2 linked regions of the Oreochromis niloticus genome follow. The protein of the gene in region 1 purifies or fractionates together with the protein of each later gene. This does not show direct contact. Links are inferred from orthologs where the notes say so. Each region holds a gene or a part of one and is shown in the gene's direction. Other genes may lie near its edges.

The links. The genes of interacting proteins can lie anywhere in the genome.
Region 2: the proteins of wwox (region 1) and vopp1b purify together in Homo sapiens (affinity purification with mass spectrometry; 3 studies listed by BioGRID and IntAct, with this or other methods). This does not show direct contact. The link is inferred for Oreochromis niloticus from reciprocal best matches to the Homo sapiens genes WWOX and VOPP1.

Annotation. Positions count from the first base shown.
Region 1 is NC_031972.2:56,177,276-56,181,027, reverse strand, and holds the start of wwox (WW domain-containing oxidoreductase), read left to right. Parts: upstream 1-1,059; 5' UTR 1,060-1,874; coding exon 1,875-2,119; intron 2,120-3,752. UniProt on the Homo sapiens protein: Putative oxidoreductase. Acts as a tumor suppressor and plays a role in apoptosis. Required for normal bone development. May function synergistically with p53/TP53 to control genotoxic stress-induced cell death.
Region 2 is NC_031974.2:30,754,764-30,758,515, forward strand, and holds the start of vopp1b (vesicular, overexpressed in cancer, prosurvival protein 1), read left to right. Parts: upstream 1-1,484; 5' UTR 1,485-1,739; coding exon 1,740-1,790; intron 1,791-3,752. UniProt on the Homo sapiens protein: Increases the transcriptional activity of NFKB1 by facilitating its nuclear translocation, DNA-binding and associated apoptotic response, when overexpressed. May sequester WWOX in lysosomal vesicles and thereby regulate WWOX role as tumor suppressor.

The DNA of each region.
Region 1 (3,752 bases):
TATGAAAAATCCCTATGAACAAAGAAAAGTTGGCCATGGTCACTACCCCCTCCACTGAGTAGTGACCGTGGCAGTGCACATCCGACATTGGACAATGAGGGCAAATTATGAAACAATCAGGTGGAAGGGTTTGGAAACAGGGAACAGTGCACTACAAGATCTACGTTTTAACTGGGAAACACTGAAAGATGGGTGATGGCCTCTTCAAATGGTCCTGGGAAATTTCATCTAGATATTATCAGAGAACAACCACATTTTCTGACCTGAATCTTGGTTAGAGGCTGGGTGCCTGGAACTGTTTGCAGGACATTCTTTGGCTGGTGCAGTCTGGGCTAGGGCAACACGGGCCTCCTTCCAAACTGCAGCATTTCAGGCAACGGGCATGCAAAATCTCTCTTTCCCTGCCAATAGGTCCTTATAAATCCTAATTGTTGCTCTTGGTGTTGTTGTTGGTGTGGCACCAGAGCTTGACCAAAACATATTGAAACTTGCAACAGGGATTAAACACCTTGTTCTGAGTCTATACGGCCTAATCCCTGTCTCCATATCCACAGACTTTGAGGCACAGTCCTGCTAAATCCTTTAGGGCTCAAGGCTGTGCCACTATGAAATCATCCAGTGCACAAAGGCCAACTTGCAGATGTTTTAGGTTTCTTTTATTTTCTACTTTTTTGCTTTTGTTTCCACATGAAATGACATGGAAATGTCTAAGTGGTGGCCATTTAAAACAAAGGCAAGGTGTTTTAGTGTTTCCTTTTCTTTATCTCCTTTTATAAGATGTACTGGATCATCCTTTATGAAACAAGATTATGTGAGTATTGTGCTGTTTTACATTTTTATTATCAGTTATATTTATCAACGGTGTGCTATTCCACAGAAATTTTGCAGCCATTCTGTGGAAAACATAGACTCTGCAGACAGAAAAGACACATGTAACAAGTGCACAAACTGGTTAACAGACACAACAGGCAGGTCAAGTGGCAGGAACAAGAGAAGCAAGAGACGGGCACAGATTTTGCATACAAAAGAGCCACTGAGCTGATGGGGAACAGCTGTGCTGGTCAGGTCACATTGGCAGTTGTCGAATTTCAAGGCATGGGAAAAAAAAAAAACAGAACACATTTAGCTATATCTGAAACATTTTTACATCTATTTTTTATTTAAATGTGTGAACATTTAGAGGCAGTATAGCTCTAACTAATTCGCTTTTGTTAGTTGTTGTCATTCCACTGTGTTGACTAGTTAATGAGGTGGTTTAATGCTACCTTTGTCCCCAATAGGTTTAGCCCTGTCATCTGTTCAGATTTCCTCTGGCCCTCTTGGATAGTCTGTAGGGTACGTTTCTATTACAATAGACAGAAAAGGTAATACTGGTAAAACGTGCCCAACTGCATGGTGACCTCTTTGGTTGATAGATGTCTGAAATGTGTACAAAAGCGTAGTTATGACAGGAAAGGTGATTAATTAGTGGAGAATAAAAGGGTTGGGAGGAGATTTAAAAAAAAAAAAATCAGAAAACTTTAGCTGTTTCTTTGTCAGTGGGCCTGACTTATCTGATTACATAAATCAACAGCTCTATTTGCCCACTTCCAACATCTCCCCACATTATTCTCCTACTTTAGCCTTACAATTTATATACCCAGATCAAAGGCTGAGAGAAAACCCAGCCAGTGTTCTTTAACATAAAGCCTTTAAGCTTATGGAAAAAAACGACGAAATTAAACTTGAGACAGTAACTCGAAATTTCGACTTCGCTCTGGCTGCCATCTTTTTTTCGGTGGCGGAAACAAGCTTCCGTGCCATAACAGAAGCACGATTTGAATCACAAAAAGCCGGATCCTTAAGCATATGGTCTGCCGCCTCAATGTCCCAAAATGCAGTTCGGCAGTCGTCATCGTGTTGTTGCGGAAGTGCTGGAGGATCGCCGTGTCCGTGTTTCTGCTCTCTCTGACATCTGCATTCATTCTCCAGAGCAGATATTTCTCTCTGATTTTCATCATTCACTGGAAGCTATGGCAGCTCTGAAGTACGCAGGTATGGACGATACAGATAGTGAGGATGAGTTACCACCTGGATGGGAGGAGAGATCTACTAAAGATGGTTGGGTCTACTATGCAAAGTAAGTGAGATCTCACTATTAACGCTATCAGCAAGCATGTCTGTGTATGAGTTCAGTCCTAACACCTACTGACATCAGGGCCATGCCATTTCTATTATCATCTGGCTAACACAGCCTGCTAGCTACACTTGTTAAAAACCTCTGCCAACTGAAATGTAAAGTCTGTGTTATAAAGTGTGCCGTCCTCATTTCACTGTAGGGTTTGTGCTAATTGTTGTTAGTCTTTGATAAGTCTGTGAGTTTGTCATCTCGACCTATCCTGCCGTAGTGTCACTATCCACTAGCTGCCATGCTGTACACTTACGCTGAAATATAAAGTCACAACCCTCCTCAGTAATGGGATAATGCGTTAAAAATGTACCTTTTGGATGTGCAGCTGAAAAATCTGTAGCAAGTGTGTGATGCTGTGATGCTATCATGACAATATCGACCAGAATATCTACTCATCTTAGACATGAGGAGTCATGGAGTCAATGTGGGGCATTTACTGATTTCTTTGAACTGTTTGAATTTATTTAGGATTTTCTCAAATCCACACAAGGTTAAAAATCTACTTCCAGGCTCAAATATGTACAATATATAAAACTTAGCAAGCAACAGCTCAATGACATGCTTTTAGTAGCTGTCAACAAGCTCCTGTCTGGATACTTGATCACTCTTCTTGGGAGAATTTGTAGAGTTCATTTAAATTGGTTGGGTTCCTAGCACAGACCTGGCTTTTAAACATAGTCTACAAATTTTAAATAGATTAGAGGTCAGGCTTTGGGGCTTTGGGAATGTCATTCTAGAGCCTTAATGTTAGCTTGCTTTATCTGTTTAAAAAAGCGTTTTGATGTGTTTTGGAGCAACGGCTGGTTTGACATGAAGTTGAAAAATTTGTATGTAGTATTTCTTCATTATTCAGTCCATTTTGTGCAGTGTAGAATAGAATAGAATAATCCTTTAATTGTCCCACAAGGGGAAATTTTGTTGTAACAGCAGCAAGAAAAACACATATACAAACAAACAGGAGACGGAACAGAAACATACACAATTTTTTTTACATATTTACATCAAGGACAATGGTTACCAAAAACAGAGTACTGTACAGTTATTAAAATTAAATAAAATGAAATACAGATAAGAGGCAAACCCAGGTTGTAGTGTGAATCGGTTGATAAAATAGTGCAAGTTACAGCGCTGATATTCTATGTTTGTTGGGAGCAGTTTTGTTTGTACAATCTGACAGCTGCAGGGAGGAAGGACCTGCGGAAATGCTCCTTCATGCATCTAGGATGCAGCAGTCTGTCACTGAAGAAGCTCTGCAGTTCAGCAACATTTACATGCATGGGGTGGGAGACTCTGTCCATCAGATATGTTATTTTGGCCAGAGTCCTGTCTCCCACCACCTGCACTGGGTCCAGGGTGCATCCCAGAGCAGAGCTGGCCTTCCTAATGAGTTTATCCAACCTCTGTACCAGCACCATTGGCAAAAAAACTGCCCCAGAACATGATACTACCACTACCATGCGTGACAGCTGGCACAGTGCTCTCAGGTTTAAAAGCATCACATTTACTGTGCAGAATATACCTCTGGGGATTGTGATCAAAACGCTCAATCTTTGTCTCTTTTATCCAGAAAGCATTTGGCTTG
Region 2 (3,752 bases), on another chromosome or scaffold:
AAATAGCATTAACAGTTCGAGCGTAGTTACAGTCAACAGTGAATATAAATGCTAAAACTGAATATATTGAATAGTGTTACCCCCCTCCACCATTAACAAATGGTTCAGCCCATAGCAGGACCGGCTTTTTTCTTGTTTTCAGTAGCAAGCCATGCTTATGATTGTGCCAGAGCACATTTTGAACAACACCATGGGAATTTCGGATTTTACACAGGTGGTTGGATGTTACACTCTGCAAATGGAAGCAAGGTGAGTGTTATTAACTCTCTGTGGTCCACGGGCACGCTGCACCTCCAAATCACATGACTATGTTAAGCTGACATAGCAACAAGCTGCAGCCACGCTGAGTCTCTGTTTCAACCCAGATTGAAAGTTCGCACTTCAAAGTATATACATTTTAATTACAGGCCAGTAAATCCAGGGTTATGATTATATATATAAGCCACGCTTTTTTCTAAATACTGTCGTCATGTTTTTGTGTGTGTGTTTTAAGCGTTTTCTAAGGACAGCGCGAAAACAGTAAAGAAAGGAAAAAAAGCCACCTCTTTCCTATCGAAAATGTACCATGTCGAATTTTTAAAAAGTCAACACGTAGGATTTGGTTGTTTAGGAAGAGGGAAAGTTTTGGGAGTGACGGTAATGGCAGCGAGATAGAGAGAGAGAGAGAGAGAGAGAGAGAGAGAGTTTAGATGTGGGAGATTTGTGACGTTTAGTGTGGAGTGTATACTTAGTGTGTTGTGTTGTCTTGTGTAGTTGTTCTGTTGTGTAGTCGTTTTGTTTTGTGTGTCAGTGAGGGCACTAATGAACACAAAGGCACATTGCAGTGTAAACACTGTCACTAAGTAGAAAACCAGCGGAGTGATACACCTCCTGTTGTCAGGCCTGCAGGTTTATCTTTAATTTTGCCACCCCATTTGGTTTCTCTGCCACCCTCATGCCACCCTAAGAAAATTTCTCTAGATCCGCCCCTGGTGAAACGCCTTTAGTTAGCTCAAGAAAAGATGTCGATCCTCCATGTAATACCTTCAGGAAAACAGGCTTTGTTTTTCATCATGACGGTGATCCTAAACACACTGCCGGTGAAGTGAAAGACACACAAGTGAACACCATCATTCATGCACTGCCCTAAACATTGTGTAAGAAGTGTGGGATCATCTCGACAGAGAACAGAAAACAAGACTGCTAACGTCCAAAGAACTGTTCTTCAAGAAGCCTGGAGAACTGTTCCTGCTTCAAGAAATCACCAGAAAGCTTGCTTAAGCGAGTTCAGGCTTTTGATGTACATTTGCACGTTTTAGATTACTGCATCTATTTCTCTAGTAAAGTATAAAGAAATGAAGGTGAGTCGAAGCTTTTGCACTGTACTGTACATGTGTTGGATATGAAGTCATAGCCATTGTTCCTCTATTCTACGGGGAAGTGTAATGTCCTATGAAATGAGGAAACTGTGTGCGTGTGTGTGTTTGTAGGGCAGAGTAGGGGGTGGGGGGCTGGGAAAGGGGCGTGGAATAAACCAACATCACAGGCTATTGCAGCTTCCCATCATGCCATTTAATCTCCGTTTTTGGTCTGTTTGACCGTCGCCCGGGTTGCCTTCATCTGTCCTGTCAAACCGGCTGGATCTGCTGTCTGTGTCCGCCAGCGGGATGAAACCGACATAGAGATAACGGAGCAACCCCTCCACGGTCTCCTCCTGTCCACAAGCGGAGCTTTGCTCCCACTCTCCTACCGACGGAGATATGAGACATCCACTGCTCGATGCAGCCCTGACATTGTGGCTATTTGTAGAGGTGAGGTGTCCTCCGGTATTACTGTGGTATTAATAGAGCTGTGACGGACAGGCACGGGTTCTGGGTGACGCCGCTGGCCGTACCTTTATAAGGCTTTCGCTCGTGCCTTGTTGTTGTGCCGGGGCTGACTGTGATGTAGTTCCGATACGTTAGTGCCGACAGATCAGACCTAACAGAACCCGGCATACCCCGGCTCAATGAGAAAGGACCTCCGCTGTATGTGCGGCACTCTTTGTCAACTTCATGAACGGCACAACGAGAGACGCTCGAATATCTGAAAAAGCGCAACGTTAAGCTGGGATATAGCAACAAAATCAGAAATGTCAAAAAAAGGCAAAGCCAGTGGGATTGTGTTCGTGCAGAATAGAAGAGTGTAGAACAGTAATATGGCTTTTACCCCCACATGTGCACATCGGATTGTTTGAGTGGGTGAGCTACCTGTGATTCTGCCATCCTTTGTCTTTGTGCTCAGACCCCTATAACTCCTCAGTAGGTTACTGGGCCTGTAGGACACACGGCAGCAGTCTGAATCAGTGTACACGCAGTCATATTCATATTTCTTTTTGTAGTGTTGGTCTTTTCCTTTGATATCCTCTGATGTACCCTTCTGCACTTTTTGGGGCTATAAGGATCATTTAAAAAGAGGTGAAAACGAGCTCTAGTTTAATTTTACAGCCTCTGAATGTAGCTCACTCTTTCTATCAGCCTTGCATTGCTGACACTCCTGTCTATTCATGTAATATTAACCCTCATCATTACTATTTTATTTCATTCAGCAGATGTAGTGAGCACACATTCATTTTGAATTCAAGCAGGCTGCCTAGATGGAGTCAAGCCCTCAGACCTTGTGCTGCTACTGCAGTGTCCGCTTTGAGGACGAGTTCTGACAGCTTAGATGTTTAGTGTCACTTATAATGCCGTTGACTCACAGAAAGCATGCATTAGACCCTGGGACATGCTTCTTCGGGTAATAATAACCCTACAAACAGTGGTGCTGTTTAGTTTTCTTCACTTATGTACAAAGTGATAGCAGAGCTGTAACATTTTGGTTCTTAAGAAATCCCTGAAAATGGAAACAAGCAAACTAACTTCCTGCTAAGTTCTAGAAATTGGGCTGTTTTTAGCTCTCAGTGATGCCAGTGTTTGTTTGACATTGGGAACCGGAAATGGCAGCATTGGGAAATATTTATAAAATAAATATTAGACAGCAGTAAGCTATATATCTTAAAAGTACTGTAAGTGGGTTTGAACACTGTTTTGCAACAGAGGCAGCAACTAATGAATCCTGTGATCTTACTGGCTTTCTGTTAGATGAAAGCAGATTAGGAGAAGTCACTGTTTCACTGTTTGCTGGGCTTGAGAACACTAGTAAAACACAGACTCATACAGTGTCTGTGTTTTACACCTGAAGTGTAAATTCACCTGAAGAGATATTAAAATGTCCTTAAAGTGGAAACTAATTCATTCTCTCATTGTGGCCTGTGGGGCCTCACTCATGTCATGGTGGCTACTTCAGGTTTTCTTTTCTTTTTTGTGTGATCAGCGCTCTTAGAAGGTTTAAACTTTCTGTATGAGCTATGAAGCCTGAAATAAATTAGATTTACAATTATCAGGGACTGTTGATTAACATTATAGTGGTGCTTTGGCAGTCAAACCAGTTCTAACTGGTTCTTTATTATGACTTTTTAAAATTTTTTACTTTGATAGAAAGGACGGAGTGAAGGGTATGACGCACCGAATATGCTCCATGGCAGGCTCACACCCAGCCTGCTCAGCCAGGTGAACTATAAGCACATGGAGGCGACTGCTGTTTTGATTGAGTTTGGGGGCATATTCTTAAATCTGAAAGCTCACTTTGAATGTTGTTTTTTCTATTAAAATTAATATATTATGGGTTTCCAGTATTATTACATATTTTATTTGTTGTCCCGAGTCTGGGTTTTCTCATCAGGTTGGTAGTTA